Coturnix japonica: one gene and its partner. The protein of the gene in region 1 binds, or shares a complex with, the protein of each later gene. Links are inferred from orthologs where the notes say so. Each region holds a gene or a part of one and is shown on either strand. Other genes may lie near its edges.

Region 1 (15,359 bases):
ACTAACTTCAACTCCTGGCAGATGTCAAATTTCTTTCCCAGGAGGATGACCCACTGCCTGCCTAACATGACAAAGATGGTTTTTTACCAGCCATGCCCTGCAAGTCAATACTTGCTGTTATGTAATTAAACGTAGCGTATCAGCTCACACAGGCTTTTTAATGGGCAAAATAAGACATTTCAAGATTTGTGGCAAGATTCATCAGCATGCTTCACAGCTCTGTGCTGCTCCAGTGACACAGAACAACCTTAAGCCTGCAGTAACCGATTCATTAAAGCAGCTTGTTTCTGTACTGCTGGAGCAGCGCAGAACAGCTGAAGCGTATCAGCAAATCTGCCTCCTGAGCTCCTCTTCTGAGGGCTGTGTACCTCAGCACAGCTTAATTTCTGAAGTCTGCTTACATATGAGAAGGTTGTACAACCAGCCTAGCTTATGGAGACAAAATATAGCAGAAATGACCTCTGCTGCTGCTGCGGAGAGAAAGCAAAATGGGACAGATTTAGCAGGAAAGATGACGCTGCAAAAAGGAAACTAAGCCATATTTATAAAGCAAGACTCGTGACCTCCAGGAGAAATAGAGCTCGGTCTGTCATTTTCCACCATGGTTAAATAACGCCTCATGAACCATCAGTCTATTATTTCCAAAGATTCGGACTAATTTGCTATTCCAAAATGAAGGCAAAAAAGTGCATTCCTCATTCAGGACTGCACTCTGCACTTGCCAAATCCAAAGTTATAAAACCAAGCTGTGTTGAAGTTATCTGAGCATGAAAAAGGCCTCTGAGCCATTTTATTTTTTTCTAAGAATACTATTTATCATTTTCCATAAAATAAAATAAAATAAAATAAAATAAAATAAAATAAAATAAAATAAAATAAATCATGATCAAGTGTGAAAAATTTCAGGCCAAAATGCAAATCCCTGAGCCTTGCAGACACAAATATGAGCAGCAGCTCAAGCTGAAAGCCATTTTGGGACACAGCAGCACCGATTCCAAAGTTCAGGCTGATTTCTGCCTCCCCTGTGGGTCAAGTTACAGTTGGTGGATTTTCCCAAAAGGAGCAGATTTTGTTGAAATCTGGCATACTGTATCTCTGCAACACAGCTTTCCTGGGTGGTTTGGTCAAATCACAGTATCATAGAATCACAGAATCATAGAATAGCCTGGGTTGAAAAGGACCACAATGATCATCCAGTTTCAACCCCCCTGCAGCATGCAGGGTCACCAACCTTCTAACCAGGCTCCCCAGAGCCACATCCAGCCTGGCCAAAAAAAAGAAACATTGCCAAAATGTTTCTGTCATACCAGATCCTGAAAATGTCTTTGCCAAATAAATGCTGATTTGCTCTGCTAATCTGGCAGACGACATCCTGGGCTCCATCAGAAGAGCCAGGGACAAGGAGGTGATGGTGTCTCTCTACTCTGCTCTTGTGATGAGGCCACACCTGCAGTACTGCATCCAAGTCTGGGGCTTCCAATACAGGAAACAGGAAGCTGTTGGAGATGGTCCAGAGGAGGGCGACAAAGATGATCAGAGGGCTGGAGCACCTCCCATACAAAAACAGGCTGAGGGAGCTGGGCTTGTTCAGCCTGAAGAAAAGAAGACTGCAGGGTGACCTCAATGCAGCCTTTCAGTACCTAATGGGAGCCTATAAACAGGAGGGGAGTCAACTCTTTGAAAAGGTGGATAACAGCAGGACAAGGGGAAATGGTTTTAAGTTGAAGAAGTGAAGCTTTAGGCCAGATTTCAGGGGGAAGTTCTTTACTATGAGAGTGGTGAGGTGCTGGAACAGCTGCCCAGAGAGGCTGTGGATGCCCCATCTATTCCTGGAGGTGTTCAAGGCCAGGTTGGATGGTGCCCTGGGCAGCCTGGTCTAGTATGAAACGTGGGGGTTGAGGTTCCTTCCAAGCCAAATCATTCCATGATCCTATAATGATTCTATACATGAATCCTTCATTATCAGAGGAAAGGGGCTTTGGCAAAACTGTTAAAAAAAAATCTACATATTCTTAGGACGAGAAAGAGAAATACTTGCATGAAAAATTCTAGGACAGATAAAGTGAAATGTATATGAACACCTGTCATCTTATGAGAGTTATGGCCAGCTTTGCTCTTGGTATCCCATTGTATGGTGTGTGAGATACATCTGTGCCTTTCAGATTTCCACCCACACAAATAACCTCAGAAATTCTCTAAAACTGGCACCCATTTTGATGATAGCTTAAATGCAAACAGTTTCTTGAAATGGTGCATATTAAGCAGCACTGAAATTTCCTGTTTACAATGCTGTGAAAACAAAGTCTAAGGTCTCTGTGCAGACTGAGTTAACATTATTGACTTTCAGGGGTCATGGAGCAATTATTGACCCATGCTGGCATGCAAGGAATTACACATGTGAATTCAGATATTGTATGGATGTGTCACAGCTCAGCTGCACGGCAGTACCTTAAAGGAGGCTACAGCCACGTCGACACAGAGACATACCTCCTGCTTTAAAAAGGTCAGCCTCTCAAAGTACAGAATAACAAACGTGTGAATAGTAACCAGGAATCAATTGTAAAGATTTTACTAGATTCCAGAAAAAGCCATTATGAAAGCGATTTACCTTGATTTTAAAAATTCAGCTAAAGGTATAGGCGAAAAATTAAAGAAAACACCTTTAATAACATTGTTAGAACTATAAGGTTAAGAAAAACATCAGCGATAAATGGGAGAAAGAAGACATTGAGCTGAATGAAAACAAATGCAGAAGGAATTAAGGGAATGTTATAAGCAAAAAAGAGAAAGTCAATGGACAGACGATGGAGTTTAATATAAACCAAGACAAAGGCACAAATGCTACGAGTTGTGGAACTGTCAATAAACGATGCGAGTGACAAATGTCCAACAGATATTTGGGCTGAGTTTTGGAAAATGTAGACAGGAGAAGTTACAGAGAATAGCGATCAATGCAATCTTATGGTTTCAGTGGTAACGTAAGTAGATATCCCAGAACATCTCAAAGAGTTGCACATGTTTAAAAACCTGCCTGTTTCACTCACTCATATCCAAGAACTTTGTCATAAATCTGTTGGATGGCGATGTCAATTCCCTCTGTGTCCCAGGAGTGGCCATTTGCCAGCCACCATTAGACATCTCCCGGTGACCCTGTACTTCTGGGCTAGCTTTTTAGAATGCAATCCACCTGACCATAAGTAGACATCTAAATTTGGTTAAGGAAATATCCCAGTGCAGTATCCACGCTTGATAAGAAATCAAGAGGGTGCCTGAGTTTCCTCAGGTCTGCCCACAAGCAGTAGGGTCTACCAATGTGAGGCTGCAGTCTAAAGGGCAGATGATACATCCTTGGATGTACAAGCAGGCTGATCTCATGTAGCAATGAAGATCTGCATGTCTGACATGAGTGTTACTCCTACTGGACAGCCAAACCACATTCTAACATCAGCCTTCAGGAAAACACTGATGCCTTGAAAATACTCAGTTATGAATCCCCTCAGATCTCCTGCTGCAAGTATCTGAGAGATACAGGAGATGTTCTATAATAAAGAAACATGCTTGCAGCTTAAGTAAATACTCAAAGAAAAAATACTTAACAACTTCAGAGGAAAAGAACAATAATAGAAAGAGGATAACAGACTATAAGTAATATCTTATATTCATGTAATTCCTATAATGTGAGTTGCCCCCTGCAGTTGTTTGCTTGTCTTAGCTGACTCAAAAGGGATGAAAACTCAGGCTCAAATCTCACTCCTTTAAAAACAAAAGCATGGTTAAATCACTGGATAAGACACCTTGCAGTAAGAAACTTGGGAACTTCAGTCCTTTTTGCTTACTGCTAAAAGGCCAAAGGGTGACTAATTCGGTCTGACATTACCCACAGGGATGATCTTGGGAATGGCTTCTCACCCCGGCCACTAAAGATATAACAAAAGCCAGAGGCTGGAAGCAGGAGATAACTCAAACTAAAAACCAGATATAATTATTGGCAGCCACAATAAATAGGGAAATTCTTAGCAGCTGATTCTTTAATGAAGACAATCTCAAAATCAGATTTCTTAAATATATATTCAAATAATAAACAAGGAAGTAACGCAGCTTGGGCTGTGCAGGACTCAGGCCAGAATCTCACAACTGTCCAGTAATCTAAGAATCTCTACACCAACTATCCCAGAGGTTTCTTACTTTGATCTGCTTCGAGAAGCTATTATACACATGCTCATCGTGGTGACATTTAATCACTGTTAATATATGCACAAGGTTCAAAGCAGTGGAATCGCCATTTTTTTCCAACTCAGATCTCTGCTACGATTTGCCAGCGTTCTTGTTTTGAAAACTAATTCCCATTATCCAAAAGACTCTCCAAAGCAAACATGGCAGTGTAGCACTTCCTAATATTTACTTTTGTGTTCTCAAAGAAAAAGCAATAGTGGTAGTTATTATTTTATGAAGGGGGGGGACGGGGGGGGGGGCTCTTCTTCTGAGAAACATTTGTATCCCACTGCAGCTCTAACATGTCCTCCTGTTCCTTCCACTGAGTCAAAGGGTCTATTGGCAGAGGGCTTTGCTGAATGTGTGCAGCAGGCAAATTGTTCCCAGGGAATTAGGCAAAGGTTTGCTCTGGTCTACCCCACTACGGTGCCTTATTGCCACAGCAATCTGCAAGTGCAAAGGGTTTTCATATCTTTGGGTCAGGCTGGATGGGGCTCTCAACAACCTGAGCAAGCTGTAGGTGTCCCTGTTCATCACAGGGGAGTTGGGCTAGATGACCTTTAAGGGTCCCTTCCAGATCAAATGATTTTATGATACTAAGAAAAAGATTCATAGCTTTTAGGGTCACCGTGATCCTCCTCCCTCCAATCTCCTTACCTATATAATTTAGACCACAACTTCTCCCATGGGAGTCTCTGCCTTCTGCGTTTGTGTTTGCCTGCATGGAACGCCCAGTGCCCATTCCCTGTCCTGATGTAGATCACACTCTCGGTGGGGCTGGGAACGGCTCAGTGGACATTTGCAGTACACTGTGTGCATTCACACCATTATCACCAACTGAGATTAGCAGCTGAGCACGGCTGGTCACAGAAAGCAATGCTTATGAGTAAATACGGCCCTCACCAGATACGGGTTGAGCTGCTGACTGCACTGCAGGCTCCTTGCACGACCTTGGGACCACAGCACCGTCTGCCCCTGTGTTAAAAAAGTTAAGATAATATAACTTGTCTGCTTCACAAGGGTTTTATAAGGCCACAGTCGTTTTATTGGAGCAAAGCATCAGGGTGATGAGGGCTATGTAAATACCTGCACTCATGAAACATCCATTAAAACACAATCCCCAGCACTTGAGGAAGAAGATCATTGCCATGGCCATGCACAGATGGACACACAGCTCTGAGACAGAGCACCCACACATGTCCCACACTGCAAGCACAGTGACACGCACCCAGCCAGGTCATTTAACCGGGGCTCTACAAACATTTCATTAATAGATGACATATTTTTTGCTAAAGGAACAACCAGCTCTACCAGATTTTATTACAGGTGTAAATTATGTGGAGTGCAAGCCTCATTTGTCTGTTCTTAATCCATTCTCCCACTAACACTCCGCAGTTCAGTCCCACAGCCCTCAATCCCACAGCCTTTTTCTCATCACTCATGAGTTCTACAACCATCATATTTATGAGATTTACACAAATACCATGAGCTAATGATAGCAGTGCCCTCCTCATTTCTTGCTGCCCACGAAGGAACACCACGACCTAAGTGTAACCAAGATGTACACATTTCTTGAACACCTCCAGGGATGGTGACTCCACCACTTTCCTGGGCAGCCTGTGCCAATGCCTCATTGTTTCCTAATATTCAACATGAACCTCCCCTGGCACAACTTGAGGCCATTCACATTCATTAACAGCAATAGGGTTCTTAGGTAAGAACCCTATTGCTGTTACCTGGGGAAGAGGCCAACACCCACCTTGCCACAATAGGGAGTTTTAGAGAGCGATAAGGTCTCCCCTGAGCCTCCTTTTGTCCAGATCAAGCCATAAGGCTTGGGCTCTGGATCAGGCTGTGGGTGCCCCATCCCTGGAGGTGTTCAAGGCCAGGTTGGATGGACCCTGGGCAGCCTGAGCCGGTGGGTGGCAACCAGCCCATGGCAGGGGTTGGAACTGGATGAGCTTTAATGTTCATATATGTTCACAGAGGTTTGGGTTCATTCCAACCCAAACCTCTGTGTGACTCGAAGCGGATACATGAAAGAGGGAAGGCAGCACCTCGGAAACTGCCCCGGCTCTGCCCACAGCCTGAGGAAGGCTCGGCTTTACCCTGCCCCTGGGCAGCCCTACTCTCGTGGAGCCCCCGGGGCAGGCAGTGCTTCGTGGGAGCGGGTCTCACGCCTTGGCCTGGAGGGGACGCACGCTGGGGACAGCAGGCACACCGCCCCGGAGTGAAGGAGCGCCCGGTGTTGGCAGCGGGCGCTGCCGACAAGGCTCCCCGACAGCGGGGCGCAGCGGGACGCTTCCCCGGCAGCGCGGGGCACGTCCCCGGGGCGGCGGCGCTGGGAGGAGGCTGAGGATCGGGGAGGCAACGTCCCTCCCCTGGGCAGTTTCTTGGCTCGGCGGTTTAAGAGCGGGGCCGCCCCCGGCCCCTCCCCGTTGGAGCCGGCCCGTGCGGCACGGCGCGGCCGGGGCTGGAGCCCGCAGCCCGCAGCCCGGGGTCGGGGCAGGTGGGGCCGGGGGGCGATGGAGCGGAGCGGCGGTGGGGGCCGAATGCTGGCCCTGCTGCTGGCCGGGCTGCTCGGCGGGGCGCGGGGCTTCGGAGACGAGGAGGAGCGGCGATGCGACGCCATCCGCATCGCCATGTGCCAGAACCTGGGCTACAATGTCACCAAGATGCCCAACCTGGTGGGCCACGAGCTGCAAGCGGACGCCGAGCTGCAGCTCACCACCTTCACCCCTCTCATCCAGTACGGCTGCTCCAGCCAGCTCCAGGTGAGTGTCGGACGGGGAAAGGGGGGATGGGGGTCCGGCAGCGGGAGCTGAGCGCGGTGGTGACACCGGCCGGGGCGCGGAGCTGCGTGCGAGGTGCTCCGAGGAGCGGAGAAAGCGACGATGTTGTATTGCCGCTGCAAAAACAAGAAAGTAGTCGGCCTTACAGTGAGAGAGGAGCACGCCGTGCTCGGGGGGACCTCGAACCGAAGCGTTCGCTAAATGCCTTTTCTTCTGTTTGCTCGCTAGCTGCGAGATCCAGGCGGTGCCTCCAACGAATCTATTTGGTTTAGACCTCTTCGATTTGTTTAGGGTTTGTTTTGTTTGTTTGTTTGTTTGTTTTCTTTCCTAAATGGCAAACCCTGGAGGTTCACATCTGGCTGAGTCCCGCTCACTGTATTGAAACTGATGGGCTCAGTTTGCGTGGAGCTCATCTATCTAGGGAGCAAAACATGCGGGCTCTGCCTGAGGAGTGCATTTGAACTGAAAGAAGGCAGCATTTCTAGGAGTTTTCCTCCTCTGCTTTTATTGTTTTGGGTTTGTTTCACGTTGCTTCCTGTTGTTGGAGGCAAAGGACCAAAACTTACTGCTAAAAAGGCAAAAACTTGTTATATTTTGACCTGCTGGAGTCTCTCCTAACACGCTCGTTATTTTTTTGTTTCTCTTTCTTGCAGTTCTTCCTTTGTTCGGTCTATGTCCCGATGTGCACGGAGAAGATTAACATCCCTATAGGTCCCTGTGGTGGCATGTGCCTCTCCGTCAAAAGAAGATGTGAACCTGTTTTAAAAGAGTTTGGATTTGCCTGGCCGGACAGCCTGAACTGCAGCAAATTCCCTCCCCAGAATGATCACAACCACATGTGCATGGAGGGGCCAGGAGATGAAGAGGTTCCCCTTCATAGCAAGACATCCTTGCAGCCTGGAGAGGAGTGCCACAGCATGGGATCTAATTCGGATCAGTACATCTGGGTCAAGAGAAACCTGGACTGTGTCCTGAAGTGTGGCTACGACGCTGGGCTCTACAGCAGGTCAGCAAAGGAGTTCACAGATATCTGGATGGCTGTGTGGGCCAGTCTGTGCTTCATATCAACTGCGTTCACAGTCCTGACCTTCCTGATTGATTCATCCAGATTTTCCTACCCAGAGCGCCCAATCATATTTCTGAGCATGTGCTACAATATTTATAGCATTGCTTATATTGTGAGGCTAACTGTGGGCCGGGAAAGGATATCCTGTGATTTTGAAGAGGCAGCAGAACCTGTTCTTATCCAAGAAGGTCTTAAGAACACAGGATGTGCTATAATTTTCTTGCTGATGTACTTTTTCGGGATGGCTAGCTCCATCTGGTGGGTTATTCTGACACTTACATGGTTTCTGGCCGCGGGACTCAAGTGGGGCCATGAAGCTATAGAAATGCACAGCTCTTATTTCCACATTGCAGCCTGGGCTATCCCTGCTGTGAAGACCATCGTCATTTTGATTATGAGACTGGTAGATGCTGATGAGCTCACTGGCCTGTGCTACGTTGGGAACCAGAACCTGGACGCGCTGACGGGCTTCGTGGTTGCTCCACTTTTTACCTACCTGGTTATTGGAACTTTATTCATTGCAGCGGGATTAGTGGCCTTATTTAAAATCAGATCCAATCTTCAGAAAGATGGAACTAAAACTGACAAACTGGAGAGGCTGATGGTTAAAATTGGTGTCTTCTCAGTGCTCTACACCGTCCCGGCAACGTGTGTCATTGCCTGTTATTTCTATGAGATCTCCAACTGGGCCGTTTTCCGCTATTCGGCTGATGATTCCAATATGGCTGTGGAGATGCTCAAAATCTTCATGTCCCTCCTGGTGGGAATCACTTCAGGTATGTGGATCTGGTCAGCTAAAACTCTGCACACGTGGCAGAAGTGCTCGAACAGACTGGTGAACTCAGGGAAAGTGAAACGGGAGAAGAGAGCGGATGGTTGGGTGAAACCTGGGAAAGGGAACGAGACTGTGGTGTGAGAAAAGGACAGCGTCCAGATGGTCTGCTCTCACCTGAAGGACTGATCATGTGAAAGAACTGCAGTGTAAGTGTTGGGAGCTGAGTAAGGAGATGGTTACAAAACTTGTCTCTTGGGGAAGGAAAAAATAATGCCTTAAAGAATAAACAAACAAACAAGTAATGCTGGAAATATAAAAGCCATAAGCTGTGCTGCCCAAAACAGGAAAGCCCAGGGAGGCTTTAAATGCTGTGAAATATCCAAACACATCGTCTTCCTTCTTTTTTAAAAGCAGGATGCAATATACCAAAGTCTTTAAAAGCAATGGGATAGTAGGCCATAGCTGTGGGATATTGTTTTATTTTCATCATGCAGCTGCTGGAGGAAAGGTGGTCCAGGTTAAAATTCTGGGCTGAGACAGGGGGAAGTTACTAGAAGATGGAGCACCTCAGATAGGTGTCTTCTTTCTGAGCATTGTGAAGGAAGTGCTTTCTGAGGGCCGTGTCTCTGTGCCCTGGGGAATTCCATCACACTCTTAGGCTGCACAAGTCAGCCAAGAATCAGGTCCTGCAACAGAGAATCACATGAACTGGTCTGGGAATTACCCGAAAGAAGGATTTAGTGAGGCATTAGTGAGGATGACTCTTAAGTCATCTGATGGTCCAGTAATAATATTGGCTTGTTCTTTTCACCGCCTATAAACTGGTCTGATCTGAGTGCTCAGACCCTGCTTTGAGCAGGAATTTGGACCTCCCAAGGTCCCTCCCAACCTGAACCATTCAGTGATTCTGCCCATGCTTTATATTTTTAAATAAGCTTTGCTTGAGGTCGTGGTCAGCAGTAGAGGAACTGTGGGAATCTGGAAACTGTGCATGCTGTTACGCATCAGCTGTCGTCGTCCGCCAGCCTCTCTGTTCCTATTCCTTCAGGTGCTACTGCTATTTCCAGCTCACTGTTTCGTTCTGCTGAGCTTAATAGCTTTAAATAAAGTCTTACGTTATCGTGCTCCTTCCTACAGGAAAGAGAAAAACGAGTTGAGGGTCTCTTTAGAACAATGTCAGTTTTTTTCCAAGTAAACTTATCTGTCTCTCTGGAGACCCACGGCATGAAGCAATTAAGTCTTAATATATTTCGTTCAGTGTGATGGTATCTCTGCAGACGCCAGTCTGGGGGAAGAGAAACGTCGAGTTCCTTGGCAACCTCATGTTCACACAGATCAGTTGTATAATTATGTGTGTCAGTTACAATTAAAAGAACATTCTCAGTCCATGACATCGCAGTACAGCTGATTGCCTCAGAACGATGCTCCAGTTCCTCACTGACAGCTATGGAGTGGTTTTGTTTTATTTTATATAGATACGTACAGAATGTGTGCAGGCACTCAGTCCTCAGGAACGACAGAGACTCTGTCAGTTTTTGGAAAGGGATCCGAGAGAAGAGATCCAACTCCTTTACAAATAATGTTGTTTCACAGCGACTGCCAAGTTTTCCTATCCTTTTAATTGAGGAGGCATTGGCTTGTGCTCATGGGGAGCTTGAACCTTATGTCTGGGACTTGTTTGGCTGTTAAGAAAGGCGGTGCGAGCAGCAATAACCCATAAATATTTAAGACAATGCTGTTTCAGTGCTCTGTCCCTCTGAAGGACCTTCAGCTCTGAGTACCCCACGTTTTTGCTTAGTTTGTGTGGATCCTGCTTAGCTACTGGGCATCCCCCAGTGCCCTGACTGCTGTGATCTTTGAGGGCAGCTGAGAGCACACATATTGCTTTAGCACAGCCCTCACTTTTCCTACAGGTGCCCACGTGCTTCCCAAACCACAGTTCATTCCTGCTCTGTCCCAGCAGCGTGTGTTGTTTCAACGGCAGTGTTGAAACATGTGCTAGAGCTTATTAAATAAAGAAGAAAAAAAAAAGACACTGAAAAAACAAACCAACCCTAATTGCAGTCTTTGTGGTTGGGCTCCCTCTCCAGCAGGACTAGTGACAACTTGACACATTCTGCTCAATGTGCAGCCATTGTCTCGGCCAGCGTTGCATACCATCTGAGCCTTTTGATCCTCTCTCTAAATTCTCTCACCATTAGTGTTGTGTTTGGATCTGGTTATTCCTATGTGGGCAAGGAGTTCTGCGAGTCAGAAATCTTCCGATGGCTCAGCCTTTCCACCATGTGCTTCATCTCCCATCGCAGCAAGGGGCGTGTGATCAGCAGCTGTATTTTAACTTGCAGAGGGTGAGGACACAGTATGAGCCTTGTCTTGCAGCGTAGTGTCAGGCTGTGCCAAGGTGTCACATTCACTCATGCGTCCTTCAATCTGAAGCAGTTTGGATAGTCTCCTGGCTGACATGACTCCTGTTTGACCTGACTGATCCAATAAACAGCATTTTTAACTGTGTTATGTACACAGAAGTGGATGTTAAGTAGTACTCCTGTTATCAGATCCCTGCCTGTGACCCTGTGGACTGTGTCAGACGGATATACTTGACTGGTTGGAGACACTGAAAATGAATGAAAAGAGGACAACTCTGAGTAGCCTCATGAGGGAGCTGGGGACCACTGCAGCATGAGGCACTCAAATGCTATGGGCAGCAGGTGGGGACCAGCTGCTGTTCCTGAAGGAACATGTTCCTAGGCCTCTGTGGCAGCCCCAAAGCAACATCAGCTGTAGCAGCAACAAAGTCACATCCCACAAATCACAGAATCATAGAATTGGTTGAGTTAGAAGGGACCCTTTAAGGTCACCAAGCCCAACTCCCCTGCAACGAACAAGACACCTACAACTAGATCAGCTAGACCCCCATCCAGCCTGACCTTGAATTCTTTGAAGGATGGAGCATCCCTCACCTCGCTGGGCATCCATATGCATTCACCTTGCCTTATTCTGGGGATGCTGAGTGGGAAGTCAGAGCAGACAACCCCAAACCTAGCAATTACAAAAGTATCTGCAACTCATACATTCTCTCATTTCAATGCTGTTAAGAGTTTAAAGCCAAAAAATGTGTAACTAATCCTGTCCCGGACATTCAGTTGCTGCAGTTATACAAGCAGAGACCTTTCGGCCCTTACCTTCATGGCACTGTGCTGTGCCCCCTAGTCCCACAACACTGACCACGGGTCTCAGGAGCATCTACTGGAGAGGTACAAGCTCCTTTGTCAAGCAGACAAGTCATCTCCTTTACCTGAATTTCTAAGGAAATAGACACTGATTATTTGGGGTGTACAGAAGATATATCTGCTTTGATGTATGTACTGTAAATTTCTAATTTATCACTGTAAAAAAAAAATAAAACAAACTTTGCTATTTAATTTTTATATCAAAATAAACTTTAACCTCTGTGGATAACCAGGGCGTTCCTGGCAGTCCTTGTGGTCTCGGTGACTTTGTTTCCCATATATGCCACACTGCTGTTGCAAATCTTTGCTCCTGAAGGGAGCAGTGTTCACACTGCAATGAATGCATGGCCCAAACGGGTTAAAGCAGCACAGTTTGCATCACATGTGGGTTGGGAGAGCACCTTTGCCAACTGGAAGTAGCTGGGAACAAAACATCGTTGGGCAAGAGCAAAGTATGTACACGCTTCAGTGCCTGCACAGGGGGTGGAAAGAGAAAGTCTTCCCAAGGCAGTATGCGGGACACAGTGCTGACTGGGGAGGGTGTGCTGTGCTGTGTGCTTGTGCTTGGGCTTGTCTCAAGTGGGTCACCAACACCAAACAGGAGTGAAAACATGGAAACACAGCTGCTGCTTTAGCAGCTTTAGCTCTGCCTCAAGTTGTGTTTTCCTCCATGTGTTAAGAGTGTGTGCACCCAGAGATGTGCAGAGAATTTGGGTCCTGGCGCTTGGTGGGGAGAAGCAGCATGACCACTAATTCAACCTACTGTCTACATTTATTTATCTATCTATCTATTTATTTATTTACTTAAAGCTTATTTTCTTGAGTTTTTTTAATGCTCCACTTACTTTTCATTCCTTTTTGTCACTTCTGTTTGCCAGAAAAGTGGGAGTTCCTTCTTTTTGTGTACATCCTTCACCCGTTTCTTTTGACACTGATAGCACAGTTTGTCATATTAATCACCACCTTTACCCAGTTAATCATCTACATCACAAAATGTTCTGTATGCAGGATTGCTTAATTAGCATTGTGTTATTCTAATAAGGAACTAAATCAGACTACAGTGGATAATAGCGAAGATGTACTATAAAGACAGTAGGAATTATCACCTGTGTATCTGTAGCTAATCAAGTTTTGAGGAGCAGCACCTAAAACTGATAATTAGAGTGATTTCTTCATGCCTTTGGCAGCTCATCACCGTAATGTTCTTAGCTGGGGATTAATGAGATCTCTGATTTGAAACTTATAATTAGGAGTCTTTAATATAGCTACAGTTAAACATAAATATTAAAGAGCTCCTAGGAAGTGGGGATCTGCCTCATGTTGGATTTGTTGGCATGAATGGAGAATCATAGAGTCATACAGGTTGGACAGACCGATAAGTTCATCTTGTTCAACCATCAGCCCATGCCTGTGACCACTAAACCACATCCCTCAGTGTCACATCTCTACATTTCTTGAGCACCACCATTGATACTCTCTTTAAAGAGTAAGTGATGAGAAGTTCATAGCGAAGGAGAGCAGAGTTCTGCAGCCAGAACTCAGGAGAGTCCCAGTGATGTGAAAATGTGGTGTCATGAGATGCTGCCTTCATCGTAGAGGTCTCCAGCACACCCTCCTTCCTCAGCCACCCATTCTGAGAATCTGAATCACCTCACTTGGATGGAAGGACCTTCAGGAGCATCAACTTCTGTAACTGCACTACATTTTCATCTCCTAATCTTGTCTGTCTGGCTACATGTGGCACTGAGCTGCAGGACAGAGCAGTAAAGAAGTTCTGGGTTAAAACAGTTTCCAGACTTTTCATTTTATGTTGCAAGTTACTCTTAACTTGGATTGTGTCTGAGATCTGCACCTGAAGGCAGAGCACTGCAGAGCTGCTCCCTGAGCCCTCCTCTTCCTCCCTGCAAGGCCGGAGCTGCAAAGTCTCCAGTGAAGCTGCTTGGAACACAAGTCTGTTGCTTCCACTGGAATGATCAAGTCTGGGTTTGAGCTGCTCACCCATGGGTGAGAGCCCTGTGGCACAACACTATGGCAGCTCTCCCTCTGATGCACAGCAGCACATTTTTAGCACACTTGGGCTAATTGGGCTTATTACTTGCCAGCAGCATCCTGGCAAACTCCAGCTGTTGCAGCAGCTTTGTGTTGCTGACAGCCAGATGTTCTGTTTTCCACTCTGGGAACAGCCTACCACACAGCACAGAGGTGGCTCAGAGGGCAGCGGCAGCAAACAAGGGTTCACATGATAAGGGATCACCGAGAAACAGCTGTTCTTCAGTCTTCACTGGTTTATTTTGGACAGTGTGGACCTTCCGTGTGTCAGACGCTGGGTACAACACCAGAGGAAACAGGTTAAATCCCAAACACAAATATTATCGTGCTGCAAAGCTGGCTGTAATTTGTAACGTTGTTTCAGTCCTTGCTGCATCTGCTTGGCAAAAGCAAATGAGCAGACTAATGAGATACGCTTCAGAGGGAGATTCAGCATTAATTTTGTCATTTTTTTGTTTTAATCAATGCTTTAAAATATTTAAAGACAAAAATATCATGGGTAAGACAGTTACCCATGGCTCTTTGCTTTCTGTTTTCATCGTTGCTTAGCTGGCTTCCTGACCGCTTCTCTCATTTCCTGAGCTTACTCTGAGGAAAAGGAAAACGTCCTTCCTGAAAAAGAATTGCAGGCTTCTAATGTATTAAGGCTTTAAAAACTGATATACAGAGAAGCAGCCCACCATTAAACGTATTAGACCAGTGGGTAGGAGTTAAGGTTGTGGTGGAGGAAAAGCCAGACAGGAGCCTGCAGTGAACTCCTGCAGCCTGGAAAGCAACAGCAACCTGGGATGCACCAACATAGGGACAGGGAGGGGATTGTCCCCCACTGCTCTGCCTTTGTGAGGCCCCATCTGCAGTACTGCGTCCAGTCCCAGAGCTCCCAGTATAGGAAAACTTATGAGGTCTTGGAGCAGGTCCAGAGGAGGGCAACTAAGATGGTCAGAGGGCTGGAGCACCTCTGCTATGAGGAAAGGTTGTGGGAACTGGGCTTGTTTAGCTTGGAGGTGAGAAGGATCCAGGGAGACCTCATTGTGTATGTGCCCAATTCCCCAGTTTTATGTTTTTGTTGCCCTCCATTTTTATGTTTTAATAAATAAAAGTTTTGTTACTTTAATACTTTTTACACAGTCCCATATTAATAGGGCAAGAAGAAAAGAACGGAGATTTTGATCAGCTATGAAGTAGCTCTTTACTCAGAAAGTAGTGAGGCTCTGGCACAGCTGCCCTGAGAGCTG
Region 2 (15,253 bases), about 69 Mb from region 1:
AGTTTCTCCAAAATCCAGCCCTGAAAAACTGTTACTAAATGTATGTGTGTGTGTATGTGTGTTTAGATTGCTGCTGCTGTTCTGAGAAAAACACCACAGAGATCTTTATGAGGGCAAAGTAGATTTTCTGATAACTTTGTCATACCTGGAAAAAATTGGATCAGAAGAGCAGAGATTTGGGGCATTTGTACCCTGCTTAAGATCTGAACTGGAATTGCTCCATATGGTGATCCGCGGGGCAAGGGAAGTGATTGTACATCTCTGCTCTGCTCTCATGAGGTCCCACCTGGAGTACTGAGTCCAGGCCTGGGGCTTCCAACACAAGGAGTGGAGCTGTTGGAGTGGGCACAGAAGAGGGTACAAAGATGCTCGGAGGGCTGGAGCACCTCTCCTGTGAAGAAAGGCTGGGCTTGTTCAGCTTAAAGAAGAGAAGGCTCCAAGAAGACTTCATTGTGACCTTCCAGTACTTACAGAGGGCCTAGAGGAAAGCTGGGGAGGGAATATCTGTCAGGGAATGTAGTGTTAGGAAAGAGCATAATGGCTTCAATTGAAAGGAAGCTACATTCAAATTAGACATTAGGCAGAAATCCTTTACCCAGAGAGTGATGAGGCCCTGGCACAGGCTGACCAGAGAAGCTGTGAGTGCCCCATCCCTGCACTCTGAGCCAGGCTGGATGAGGCTTTGGGCAGCCTGATCTAGTGGATCTGGGACCTTCATGGTCCCTTGTCGTGGCAGAAGAGTTGGAACTGGATGGTCTTTTAGGCCCCTTCCAACTCAAGCCATTCTATGATTCTAATGTTAGGATTTGTTCTGCAAAGTTAAGTTCTCCACTGCCATGAAAAGGGTCAGAGTTGGGGATAGGAGGTAGGAATGAAAACTGTTGTGCTGCGGTCACATTACATGATTTGCTCCCAGGCCTCCTCCAGGCTCCACAGCACTTCGACAGCTTCCAGGCCATGTCACCTTCCACACTTTGCCTAGGAACTGCTTGGGTGACAAAATCATAGATGTCACCATTTGAGCAATTTAATAGACTGTTACATCTCGTAGTAGAGACAACCTAACATGCTCTGCCTGATCCTGCTTTCTGTCAGCTGAGAGGCTTTATAAGATCCTGTGTATGCTTTAGTTCTGTTGATAAATGTGCTTTTCTTCTCATTATTTTACTGCAGCCATTTTCTGCCATTGAGGTAGTTGGCCTGCCTTATGTGCATTCAAAATACTTACCTATTTTTTGACTGTTGTGTTGTTAGAGAAATATCTCCTTGCAGCACTCCGACAGATTTCTCTCCTCCACTTTGCTTACAGAGGTGGCGAAGGGCCACTGGGACACAGGACTGGGAGCCCACAGGGACACTGAGGGCTGAGCCTTAAACAAGTCACAGGGATGTGCATGCCCACAGCAAAAAAGCAGTGTAGCTCTGTGCAATTCAAGAAGAAAAGGCCTGGAGGTTCCTGGCTACCAGCATGAGAAAGGAAGGAAGCAACAAAAAGGAAAAGAGAATAAATCTTAGAATCATAGAATGGCTTAAGACAGAGGGGACCTGAAAGCCCATTCAGTTGCAATTCCCCGCTATGGGCACCTAAGAGGTCAGGCTGCCCACTGCCCCATTCAACCCATCCTTAAAAACCTCCAGGCATGAGACATACATAGCAGGCTCAGAAGAAGGGGTTTGGGCCTCTTGATCTGGATGTCCACAGGAAAGAAGCATATATTCTGGTCTTACTGAGGGCTGCTCTGATCTATGACCTGCCAGCCAGCAGCTGCAGAGCACTGTCCCACAAAACTCAAGATGAGAAAATGAACACTAGTTCTGAACAGCTAGAAATGTCAGACAAACTACTGGAAAAATGCCTACATTTCATTTTCTGCTCTGATATTTTGCTCAATTGTAAGTATTTCTGAAGAAAAATACTGCTGGTAAGCAGACTGAAATATATACATATATATGAAATAGGAAAACCATGGTAAGTCCTAAGAAACACTGAGTCAGTAATTGCAGCACATGCAAAGGAAGAACTCATAGCTTTTGATGGCCCTGGAGCTCTGGTGGCTGCTCTGCAGGGCCCCACAAGTAGGGGCACAGTGAGGGGACCGGGAGCATGAGATGGAACAATTCCAGCTGAACGGCACTCGAGCAAGCAAAGTTTTGCTCCCCTTTTCAAGTCTCCAAGTGTGTTTTCAGTCCTCCAGGTAGCTGAGTGGGGGGAGAGCTACCAGCGCTGCTGGGCAGTTGAAATAACAACGTCTAGTGGGTGCTGTGGGCTGGCGCCCAGCCAGCAGACAGGCAGGGACAAAAATGGAGAAAGGTTTTTAATACACTTGCAAAGAATAGCTACTAGTAGACAAAAGAGCGCTTGTATTTTTATTCTTTCTTTTTGCTGTCTCTAGGAAACTTTAAATAGATTCATTAGAGGCATGCATAGGATCTGTCTCTAATTAGCCCCAGGGCAGGCAGAACTGTTTAATGGCAAGGTGATGCCAGCCTTGGATTTTTTCTTCAGTCTTGTGTCTTACAGAGCAGTCCTGATCATGAGTTGGGGATGGAAACATGGAGGAATCCAGCTTTGCACTTGCTCATCCAAACAGTGCTGAATGGCATTGCCCCTCAGGTTCAGAGCCAAGCTATATTCAAAAGGTTCCCATCTCTCCCAGCAGGAAACCAGCAGGGTGGAGGCTGCTGGGCACATGCAAATATTCCCAGCTGAGCATTAGCTATAGGATCTGCTTCAGTAATTACCTCTGTGTAAGTCTTATGACCCAACACAGGGTAAAATGACTCTTGGCCAAATTACAAGTTGCTGAGAGGTCTAGGGCATTCGGGCATGTGTTCTCTTACCTGTTGGAGTGTGCTACAAAACAGTGGATGTTTCTGGTTCTCTGGCTTTCATTCTACTGCTTTCCTGATGATTAGAGATTACTTTTAATGCATTTACTGTAGAGCTGTAGTTATCACTAGATGCAGGAATGAGTTTCTCATTCTTTAATGTTAAGCAAAGACTTCCTTGCCACCAGGATGAGCAGTGTTCTATGCATGCTGGAGGTAGCCCATCACTGAAAGAAATGTTCCCTGCAGCAAAATCCTTTTTTTTTTTTAATAGACAGGCAAAATTCAGACTAACATCTATGTACCTTGATTAATTACAGAACCTAAGCATTTGGCTCATGGTAGCAACTTTAAGTCATCTAACAGCATTCCCCTAGGTCCTACTCTCTTTGAGCTGTGCTGCTATGACAGTAATGCGATTGTCACTGCCGTGGTATGCTTAACCTTTGCCAAACCAGAGCGGAGGCATTAACTCAGATCTTCAACTCACATGTCTTAAAGGGCAACGTAACCTGTGCTGCCTCCACTCTGCTGAACCGACGTCTGCAGCTCCGTAACAATGAGCATGAAAATGTGACAAGCATGAGCCATAACAGTGATTGATGCAGGTAGAAAAATAACAAAGAGAAGCTGAAGAACAGCAATGCAGTGGAATTCCTGGGTGCGCTGTCTCCATGGCATCAGCAGCCAAATGTTGGGAGGCCAGAAGAAAGGCTAGAATTGCTCATGGCAGGAGGGATCTCTGCGAAATTCACACAATTAAATTCCAACAAAGGGGACAAGAACTGTTGGTGTCTGAAAGTGGTAGTGCCACTGTTACCCGGGTAATGGTCTGAATTAGATTATGTGAAAAAAGAAGGAATATATAGACCGCCAGCTGCTCAAAGGCTTACTACAACCTTGCTTTTATTGTTCAGCTAAGTTAGAGGTGGGGCATCAGAAGGATTCCACGCATACCACTGCTGAGAAATTTTAATATGTTCCACACTGACACATATAAAAAGGAAATAACAGCTGATCATATCCAGCAGAGATAGCAGCATCTCTTCGTATGCCTGCAAAGAAGTGTGGGCAAAGAGGGGTGCTCTTGGTCAGAGGCAGACAGCTGAGCTAACCCAGCAGCAATCCAGCATTTCTCTTGCCAGCCAGCTCACAAGTGGACTGTCGAGAAAGAAGTAAGGAAAGAGCAGGAAAAAAGGTGAAGCGGGCACAGCTACTCGCCCTATCCCAAGATACCAGGGTGTGGGGAAGGGCAAGGAGTGGAGACGCTGCATACTGAACACTGATGAAAAGAAACACATGCTTACACAACCCACAGTGATTCAATGGAACGAGATATCACAGAGGGCAAAAGTTGAACAGGGCTCAGCAAAAGGACTCAATATGGGAGGGTTGCAGTCTGAAGGGTTTTATTTTTAAAGAGTTTTGGGAAGGGCTGTTAGCTCTCAGGACTCTGAGCACTAGGTTGATGGGGCTAGGGAAAAATCTCTCATGGCAGCAAGTTCCCCTGTTGCTGTCTGCCCCAGGGTCTCTGTGCTCTGCTTTGATGTGGCCGCTTCCAGCCACGTTCAAGAGGTGATTACTCAAATAACAGGGCACTGTATTACAGGCTCATGTAGCAAAACTTTTCCAAACCTCAGAGAGGCAAGTGCCTCCTGGTACTCAGCAGGATATTAGAGGCAGAGGAACTTGTTCTATTTGTAATAGTAGTTGGTAGTCATAATTGCAATGGTAGTGTTTGGGAGAAACAGGATCTTTGTAAAATTCTACTTTCCATTAGACAGATGATCTTCCAGACTTGCTGCAAAAACATGTCTCAGTGACTTCACCCAAGCTTTGCAGCATAGGTCTTCAGCCCCCTTCAAAGTCCAACAACAACCTCGGTCACTTCCTAGTGCATCTGGCAGCGGATGCATCTGGAAGAGGATAGCAGTGGCCCAAAGAAAATGGGGAATTAATTTGACTCCATAAGGGCTCCCTGTCAAAAAAAGTCACTATAGACATCATCACCAGACTGCAAGAAGGTGATTCACCTCCTGACCACCATGGCAAAAAATATGGCAGCACTGGGAACTCAAACAAGTAAGAGTGTACATGTGCTGCCTCAGCATCTATGGCACATGAGGGGTTGTTCATTTGGGATCAGTGGCAGTTGCTGAGTGCAGCAACAGTTTGATGGCTACCTGGGGTACTGCTACAGCTAACTCTACACAATGTTGTCCATATCAAGATCATAATTGGAAAAAACAGTGGTAGCCTCTAATTATATCCCTTAACTAAATGAAATTTCTTCCTATTTTGTAAGCTGGAAATATCTTCTGTTCCTTCCCCATTTGCTTTTAACTGGAAAATCTTACAGTATTTTTTATAAAATCATTATTACAAATAAGATTGCATTGCTCCAGCATGAATAATGTTAAGGTATAAGTCACATTAGTAAGCTCTGATTCAATCTGGTAAGTAATTACTCACCAAACAGTTCTATTTAAGTCAAGGGAATTATTCATGTGCATAACTGCTCACAGATACGAATAAGGTCTCACAGTCTGGGCAAAACTGAGCATCATTAGCAATTCAACAGGAAAAAAACAGAGGTCCTGAAACATATATTTTCTTTGGAGGAAGGACAAATAACCACAGCACTGTGATTACTGTATCCACATTCATTGACCTGCATTAGACATATGAGTTGCCTCCAATAGAAAATAATTTTACAGCGAGGAACTGAGTTTGTACCCACTGGCGGTTTTAAATAATCATTTCATAGAATCATAGAATAACCTGAGTTGGAAAGCACCCATAAGGATCCTAAGTTTGCAGAGCCCTCACCTCCCAGTGACTAGGCAGGGTCACTAAACTTTAGAAACTGTAATGTTTCATAGTAAAAAAATGGTTCTTTCGTCTCTAAAGAACTGCAGAAACTTTAGCAAGTCACTTGTCTTGCCATCAGTCAGAGGTAGAAACAAATAGGATGTATTATGGGGACACTGTGGGAGAAACTGAAATCACCTTCAAGGGCAGAACAAGAAATCTGCTTGACAGTCCCACAGGAGTCAGTGCACACAGAATACCTTGCAAAATCATATCTGTCACCAGAAAATTATCACTTCAAGCTCATATTCAGTTTGAGTCCCTCTACTGACACTGGAACATTTAGCTAATACAGCCCAAACAACTGAGACTGCTCCTCACATGGTTTGTCTTTGTTACTCAGGTTTGTTGTTTTTTGTTGGTTGTTTCTTCTTTGCTACTGAACCCATCGATTTGAACTTTTATAGATTGAATTCTCTTACCTGAGTCTCAGCAGAGAGATGGGGCTTTCCTCCTCGGCAGGGCTCTCTCAGGGCACTATCCACTCCAAAGGACTGTACTTACACTGCTCTGCTGCTTTATCTCTTGGCTCATAACAGCAAAACTCTTCCTTTCTCCCTGAGAGGCAGAGAACAGCCATGCTCGTCCCCTGACACCGCTACACAGCAACAGGATGCCTCGGCACGCCGGGATTTCAGGGTGCCGAGAGCCTCCCCCTCCCGCAGCAGGCGGCCGGGGGTCCCGCGCAGCATCCTCCCTCCCCAGCGACCGCCCGCCCGGCCACAAGCACGGCGCGTCGTGCCGAGGGTCGGCTACCTACTAAATATACCCTGCGGGGCTACAGCAAAGGCAAACGCCACGGCTTCCCTCATAGGCTTCAGCCAATCAAGGATGGGTATGAAATCTAGTCTAATCCATAGCCACTGCTGTCCAGTCTGTAGTAAAGCTTCCCAGAAGTTTGGATAAATAATAACGTGCAAATTAAGGGTGCTCCCACAGAGCGTGACACACAAAGCTAGAAATAAATATTGCCTGTTGTTTTGAATTATTCTGAGTGCTCCAGCAGATGACTGGCAAAAGAAGGATGTGCATAAGTAGCAATAAAAGTAAACAGCTCAGTTTTAAAGTAGCAGGCTTGCCTGCATCCATGACTCCCTACTGCAATGGGACAAAGCCAGTGATGGCAATAGCAACACTTGGGGCAGCACCCGGCTCGTCCATTCACTCACTCCAAGCCATACAGTGAGAGCCTGTGCAGAGATGCAAACAGGAACCCGGCACACTCTCAAAAGTAAATGTTTAAGCAAGTTGCTCAGACTGTGCCACCTCTCTGTTTGCTTACAGGCATCTTCCAGGAAGACAGATGTAAAGACAGAAGGATGAGGAGACAGGTACTAAAGCTGTGCCCAGCCTACAGTATCGCATTTAAATTAAAAGTCAGCACACAGAGAACGTGTGTTTGTCTGATTAAGGGACTAAGTTCTCTGTTTAAGCCCATGAAACATTCAAAAGCTGGAGGAAACTCTAATTTGTGTGCTTACCTTCAGCAAATGCTCTGCTCCTTCCTTCCCTCCAACTCTTCAGAGAGCTAAAAAGAGGTCCTGTTGCTTCCAAATGCTTTTGTTCTGCTGTCCCTCTGTCACATGGTTTGCCTTTTATATTTGCAACACACAAAAGTTAGGGCTGTTTAAATGGAATATTTAAATTAAGTCTGATCTATGACTAAAATGAGTTTCACATTGGCATTTTCTGAGAGAGGGAGAGAGAGGGAGAGAGAATGTCAAATGGAAAAGTGCCATTGCAGTCATATATCAATCAGGGCAGCGGCAGCAGCAGCTCGCTGGCAAATGGGAATTCCACAGAAATGCAAAGCTCTTGTTATCTGAGAAATCACAAAACGCCACCAGCCAAGCTCCCCTCAGCAGGGACGACTTATTATTGGCAAGCCAGGGAATAGAAGGAAACGTGGGCTTTTGTTGTTGTTGTTATTGTTTCAGATTTGGAGATACGTATGCAAGGGCATATGTAAGACAGTGGAATACAAGTACTGAATAAAATTCCATTCTAAATAAATGCGCTGTGTGCAAGACAAAGCAAACCACAGTGCAGGGAGGTAATTAGAGCTAAGAAAATAACCTGAAAATAATAATTAAAAAATGTTATATGTATTTACACTTGGAAAATATCCATAGCAAAACTGCTTTTTCACTGGGTTACTCATTAATCTCCTTTATTTTTCCTGAGATTTATTTTTTAGATTTTATGTGAACTGTGATTAAGCTCAGATATCCTAAATCCGAGCTGTGCTGCTTTACTGCAATTGGTCTCCTAAGTTGTCTGATGTTCTCAGGCTTCCCAATTGAATAAGCAGACAAGAGTTTTCTGTATCAATATTTGTGTGTAAATCTGCAATTCAAGCACCTCAAATAGTCAGCCCCCAAATTCTGACATTTCTCTCAAATAGACCCTCATATGCTCTCAGAGGCTGAGATATTTAAGATATCTAGTTAACATTCTTCTCTATTCTCCATAGAATGTCAGTGTTTGAAGATACTTTCCTTCACACCTTTTACTCAAATATTGCCTGTTATGCAAAAATGAATGCCCTGGAAGGCTGAAGGCAGACTCCATCCAGTGGAGAAACCTACTTACAATGAGAACATCCCAAATTCATTTGCCTGTGCATGTCTCTGGATGCACTAAAACTCTTTTTTGACTCCCACAGTGGAGCATGTTTTCCTTCCCTTTGGAGTGCCCCCTAGTCATCCCGAGGCAGTACGGAGCACGAAGAAGAGCAGACCTTAGCTGGTTAATTAAAAAATAGGCGACATAGCTGGCCATTCACAAGCTGGATCTGTTCAGAGGCACTGGCCAGCAGATGGACGGGGTCCTGTGTCGATTGTGTTTGAACTCTAAAGGAAAGTTGGTATTTGATGGATGATGTTATTAACTAAATGTCTTATGTAGTATTAGATCAAAGAACAGATGGAAATTATGCCTTAAAAATAGAATAATCTAAAAGGGGAATGGCTTGTAGATGAGTAAGCATCATGGAAACAATAAAGAAGACATTCTTTGGCTTGCCTTGCTGCAGAGCCAGGTTTGGCTAACAGGATAAAAAATTGATCCACTTAGGACTCACATCCTTAGGACATTTTCCTGAACATTTTCCCCTCATATTCAGTGCTTATGTTGTTTTGCCTCTTTAGTCAACCTTCTCTCACTGGCCATGTCTGTATGGGCTCTCTTCCTCCTTTGTTCTGGGCACCCAGTGTGGATGACAGCATCATCTCCATTCACTTGGAGCTGCAGGCTGAAATGCCACCCACACTCTGGCACTGTGCTTACCTTAAAAAGACTATCCAGAACAATGCTTTTTAATTTAGCCTACACCTGCTTTTTAAACTGAAGGCATTGTCCCTTTGGTCATTCAGCTGCCATGTCCACTTGTCTCTGTTTATCTATGAGAAGGAAAGTGACTCACATATCTGGTTGCTCACATAAAAGACCTGCCATGTCCAAGACAAAAGACACACTAAGCAGCTTCTGGATAAAATCTGCCAGGAGACAGTAGATAATTCACAGTCCTTACTGAAAATTACACTCCTTGAGTTCTAAAAGGTGCAGCATAGGTTTGTTTAGTTTGTGTCATCTATGGGAGAGAATATTCTTATTAGATACTTGTTGGGTGCAAAGCACACGTTAAATACTCAGTAATTAGCAATTACATGTCATACAGTGGCATTTCTGAGAAGAAGTGCTTATTTGGTTTCTGCCACAGAAACAATTTCCAAGTGCAGGAAAATCTGCAGATATTGGACTAAATTTGACAACAACAACAAAAATTGCATTCACATTTTCATCTTCAGCTTCAAGAACACATATGGCAATAACTGAAAATTAATCAGCAGTTAATTAACCTCATAGGCTGGTGACTTACAAACTGGCACTCTCAGTTGTGGTCTGAATGAACTTACTTATGATTGAAAGCACAAAGGTAAAAGTATAAAAAATAGCCCCCCCTCCTCCTTCCAAAAGAACTATAGAATCATAGAACCATAGATTGTCTCATGTTTGAAGGGACATTATAGATTATCTAGTCCTAGCTCTGCTGTTAGTAGGGCTGTCATCCACCAGACCAGGCTGCCCAGGGCCCCATCCAGTTCCTTCAGGACCCTAAAATGCTTGGCCCCATAGGCTTCTACATATTCAGTCTCGTGAGGTGATCTCAGACTTACTCTTCTCTTACAGTGAAAAGAGATTTCACTCTCAGTCCCTTCCTAGAAGTTCAGGGAAACAAGCTGTATGGAAAGCATGATTGCCACTGAAGACTGAGGCAAAGAACTCTTTGAGTACCTCAGCCTTCTCCATGACTGTTGAAGCCAGTTCTTCTTTCTCACTAATCAGATGGAGTACACTCTCCTTTTGCCTGTCTCTTTTGCCGGATGTATCTAAATAAACCCTTCTTATAATTTTCCACATCCCTCACCAAGTTTGGTTCCATATCACCTTGGGTTTCTTGGTTCTATCTCTGCATCTCCAGACAGCCACCTTATATTCTTCCCAGGTCACCCATCCCTGCTTCCACTGCCTATATTTTTCCTTCTTATCCCTCAGTTTGACCAGCAGGTCCTTGCTCAGCCATGCCCATTTCCTGTCTATGGCCCACAGTTTTTCATATTCGTCTGCTCTCAAGCACTGTAGCTTAATTCTTCCCATAAAAAAAGTCACTCAAAATAGAAAAAGTGCAAAGCACAGATCAGAGGTATGTTTTCAGAGATGATTATGTGCATGAAATGACCAGATATTTGATAAGATGTCCTGCTCACAACTCAATTTTAATCAGAGATCCCTTCAGAGAAAGTTTTTCTCACCTAGCAGCCATAATCTGAAAACTGAGTATAGGCTCTTCCAATGGCAAACAGAGTTTCCATCCCAAGTTATTTTCATTTCAGGACAGCTTAAGGTAGTTGTCAACAGCAGTCTTTCTCCCTGTGAGCAACAAAAAATACTTTGTGAACTGTCAGACTAAATTCCTATTTTTTATACAGGTAGAATTTAATCAGATAAATCCACCGTCAAGTCTGTAGTTTTGAAGAGAAAGAGATTCACCTCTGTGTAGAGTTCTACTAGCATCCCTCACTGACTCCCCATGAAATGCATCGCAAACCTGAAGTCTTAGTATACTTGCTTCTGTATTTCACCTCTGTATGCACCTACAAAACTCTTGTCCAAACACAGAAAAGAATAACTATTACCTGCAGTTCAGTACAACTGAATTCTCTGCCCCACTGACATCAGCAAGCATCAGGTTGGCTCCTCAAAGGAGTGGAATTTCACCTCTACAGAGTGCGCTTGTTGTGAATGAAAAGTATTCAGAATTCTGCAGCAAAAGAAACCTTATGTTTCAATTTGAGGGATTTTCCAATGGTGCCAGTTCATAACATTCCATTTGTGATTGTTGCATTCTTAGACAGTGGATAACAGACATCCATATCATCAAATGTACTGTCAGAAAAGGACCACCTAGTGTGTGTGACGGTTGTATTTGTGAAGACCATGAATAGAATACATATGCAAGGGCAGTCTTTAAATGTAAACATGTACTTATGCACAGACACAAACATGTCCCCTACTGCTGCAAACAGGTAGGATGTATAGGAATACAGCGTGTGGAAGGACTGTGTTTTGTTTAATTACTGAATTGAAAAAGGGCAGATCATCATAGAATCATAGAGTTACTCAGGTTGGAAAAGACCTCAAAGATCATCAAGTCCAACCTCAGACTAACCATAGTATCCTAACTCTAACAACCCTCTGCTAAATCATATCTCTGAGCATCACACCCAAACGGCTTAAACACATCTAGGGATGGTGACTCAACCACCTCCCTCGGGAGCCTATTCCAGTGTTTAACTACCCTTTCTGTAAAGAAGTGTTTCCTAACATCCAACCTAAACTTACCTTGGCGCAACATGAGGCCATTTCCCCTCGTCCTGTCACTTGTCACCAGTGAGAAGAGGCCAGCTCCGCCCTCACTGTAAGCACATTTCAGACACTGGAAGAGAGCAATAAGGTCTCCCCCAACCTCCTTTTCCCTAGACTAAACAGCTCCAGTTCCCTCAGCCTCTCCTCATAGGGCTGATTTTCCAAGCCCTTTGTTGCCCTTCTCTGGACCTGCTCCAGTACCTCCACTCCTTTTTGTACCACTGGTAGTCTTTTTATAGCTGGAAATGTAGGGAGAAGTGAAAGTATTGCAATGATGGAGAAGGATCTACAGTAACAAGTAATGTAATATTTATATATTCAATGTACACACATGTACAGAAAAAAAGTATCCAGAACCTTTAGAGAAACTATTTTCTGCCATTTTAATAAACCAAACAGATATTATTATTAGATAATTAATAATTCTGGTACATAAAGTTATACACCCATGTATAACAACCCAGGATCAAGCAGCACAAATGTCCAGGTAATTTTTGTCCTTCATGTCTTATGTCATCCTGTCATGTGTTCCCTCAGATTCATTTTGCAAGGTTGTTTTAACACCTAACTGCCTATTTTCTTCTAAAACTTAAATACTCCTCTTGTTTTAAAGTTTTTACGTGTACATGAATGTGTGCTAAGAATATCTGGAAGTGTTTATTCCGTGGCTTTCACATATTGCATTATTATAGCAAAGCTTCTTCTACTTAGGGAGCTATAAAGAATTATGTGAAAATTAGGCCTGAGCTGTTTGGTTATTCATTTTACCACAGAAGTCAGAAAGACATATTGCCTGTGAAATATACTCAGATTTTTTTAAACAAGCATAAAAATGATTCCATGCTGTGACACAAAATTGGTGTCCCCCAAAGCTGGTGTCCTCCTGGTGCCTTCAGCAAGCAGTAGGTACAGGACACAGACACGGATGGCTCTCTTGCAATATGCTGCCTACAAACCCATAATGAAAAGGTTATACAGGAAAAGTGAAGAAGTCACATTTTTAAACCTTACATCCCTCATGTTTGCCCATTCAAGTTTTGTCGTTACTTTACCTCCAACTTTGCTCCTGAATCTCTTGAGGATATGTAATGTCTGACTTTGCCTCAGCCATATCCTTTGTTTCCTTCCACAGAAATCTTCTTTTTAAGCTGCTGCCTGACTACTAAGGAAGGGACAGTATGCCCTAACTGGCTACCAAGTACCCACTCACTGTAGCCAGAGCACTACAGCTCCTCACCTACTCAAACTGATGAACCACATGTACTTCACTTTCCTTCTGCAAGACATTAATAGGATGCAGCAACACTACTGTCTAGGGGAAATAACCCATGCCTATTTCTATTCCAAGAATTTGTCGAGAAACATTGTTTTCTCCAAAATCTCTGCTTTGCGGCAAAATTGGTTGAAATTGGCCAGCTAGGTGTAAAGCCAATGGGGGAAACAAAGGTAAGGGTGGACAGACCAGAAAGACAACTCAATCTTTTGACAAAATAATGAATAAGAGATAAAATATACCTTTAGTCTACCTTCAGATTGCTAGAAGATAGGACTGCCTGAGTTTAGAGCCTTCTGCTATAAGAAACTGTGGCCACAATCCCTGTCCCCTTTCCTTTGAAGTGACTGGATACACCAATCTGGATGCCCCAGGCAAACCAGAAACAGCACAAGTCTGAATTCTCCACAAGTGAATCATTCTGCCTCCCCAGATCATTTCAGCCATCAGTCTGGAGATCTGGTGCTGGAGGTTTATTCCTAAATTCTTGCTTAGGAGTCAAATCTGAGGGCATTATAATGACAAAATGCTGGCTAATATTTCCAGTACACTCTGATCATCGTTTCCTCTCCTTTGTATCTGATGGAGAAAAACTATTGTGCTTCCATGAATCTTGGTGGTATGGATCAACTGTTCTGCAGACACCTGTGAGATTCACTTCCCTGAAGTTAAGAGATCTCAGACTCAGCAAATCACTCTAGACTTCTCTTGTTTTTAGTGGAAACAGGAATAGGTGCTGCCCAAAGAATGGTTTACTTGCTGATGTTAGGATGAGATGGAAGTGCATTTGACATTACCTGTTTCTCTCTGTTAATAGCAAAGGCATCCAAGAGTGTTGGCCAAGATGCCAAAAGTTCTGATTTACTAATCCAGCTGTTGGATGTCTTGGTTCTGGCAGATGAATTCCACATTTAAGGCTGCTTGAAATTATCCTGTAAGCATATGCTCTCTCTATATGACTTGCCAGATATCCACAGTTATACATAGGTCAGTGCTAAGTACTTTGTTTTTTTCTTTCCCGAGGCTGAGGAAAGTTTTGTGTCAAACGCTGTGGGATAATGACATTTGATGTGAAGTGTGCAGTTTGCAGTGTATTTCTTCCATCTGTTGGAGAAAGAGTCTCCCTGTAAAGACTTGCTGTCTGTCAAATGCTTATCTGAGTATCAAAGAACAGTCATGATGTGTCCTATGGGATCTCCAAATCACATCTACAAGCAGACTACATTCAACTCAGACTTTTTCCCAGCAGGATTTTCAAACCATGCCCCTCAGGTTTTCCATGTGGAGTTTCAGACCTTGGAATATAGCCTACAGGTGGTACCTCTTCTCCATGCACTTTCTCCTGTGCATGCTTCAACGGCACTTCTACCCACCCATGTAGGTGATATGTGATGCACCATGGGTGTCAAATTTGGTCTCTACTCCATCATCTGTAAACAAAAACCATAGCAGCTCTTCTGTTTTTCCTGTCTGTCACATTCCTCAAGAGATCAGTAGAAAGTCCTGAACAGCTTCCAGTGGCATAATGGGCAGTTTTGCCTGAGTACATACTGAAGGCTAATGTATCTAAATGCAGTTTTAAATACCTTCTCTAAGCAAAGGTCAGACCCTAAGGACTACTTGCAGCTTGCATATCATTGTGGGTCAGATTGTAGTTTAAGTACAGGGAGATTTGCACAAAGAAGAGAAAACAACGTCAGATGGCAGGAGTATCTCCACTTAGTTGACAAGGGCATAGCACCTTCTTGAGTAGAATATCAGAGGTAGGAATGTGATTTGGAAATTTCTATAATGACAAAAAACACTCCTGTAAATTCAACTATAGAAGCAAAAAATGATCTGGGAAGATACAGCCAGACTCTAAAAATGGCAACCTTATTTTGTTACAACCTCACACCAATACCCCCCATTAAGTGATTTTCTTGGTGTATAAATGCAATAGGCAAAGTGGAAGAGACATTTATGCATGCCATTTATTATGAGAAATTAAAGCCAATTAATTTGTTCACCATTAGGTTTTGTGTTGTCACAGACTGTACAAAACTTCACATTTAGAAAGGAAACAGTAAGTGAGAATCAGTCTCAGCTGAACAATTTGGGTTAAAATGTCAGGGCATCTTGTCGTATGCAAAGCTGCTGAGAGGAAATGCTATTTAGAGCAGGAAATTGGTGATTCATAATTGACATTAACTCTAGTTACCCTCCAATGTGCACACTGTACTTCACGTGAAATTATTATAACCAAAAAAGGCCCTTCCCTTGAGCAAGTTCAAGTTAATGTTTAGGGAACCATTTAAGCTGTTGTTAGGACAAAAGTCATTATAGGGGAATGAATGGCTGGATGCTCAGACT

Evidence for each region.
Region 2: the proteins of FZD4 (region 1) and NDP are in contact, whole or in part, in a crystal structure (PDB 5BQE), measured with the Homo sapiens proteins. The link is inferred for Coturnix japonica from reciprocal best matches to the Homo sapiens genes FZD4 and NDP. Residues at the interface, in NP_036325.2 of Homo sapiens: Ser51, Met52, Gln54, Asn55, Leu56, Gly57, Gln95, Phe96, Met105, Thr107, Lys109, Ile114, Asn152, His154, Met157, Cys158, Met159, Glu160, Gly161, Pro162; in NP_000257.1 of Homo sapiens: Asp33, Ser34, Pro36, Arg38, Met40, Arg41, His42, His43, Tyr44, Val45, Asp46, Lys58, Met59, Val60, Leu61, Lys102, Lys104, Leu106, Tyr122, Leu124, Ser125.

Annotation. Positions count from the first base shown.
Region 1 is NC_029516.1:168,784,589-168,799,947, forward strand, and holds FZD4 (frizzled-4), read left to right. Parts: upstream 1-6,453; 5' UTR 6,454-6,737; coding exon 6,738-6,986; intron 6,987-7,657; coding exon 7,658-8,986; 3' UTR 8,987-12,321; downstream 12,322-15,359. UniProt on the Homo sapiens protein: Receptor for Wnt proteins.
Region 2 is NC_029516.1:100,194,716-100,209,968, reverse strand, and holds the start of NDP (norrin), read right to left. Parts: upstream 7,326-15,253; 5' UTR 7,182-7,325; intron 6,259-7,181; exon of another isoform or gene 6,123-6,258; intron 1-6,122. UniProt on the Homo sapiens protein: Activates the canonical Wnt signaling pathway through FZD4 and LRP5 coreceptor.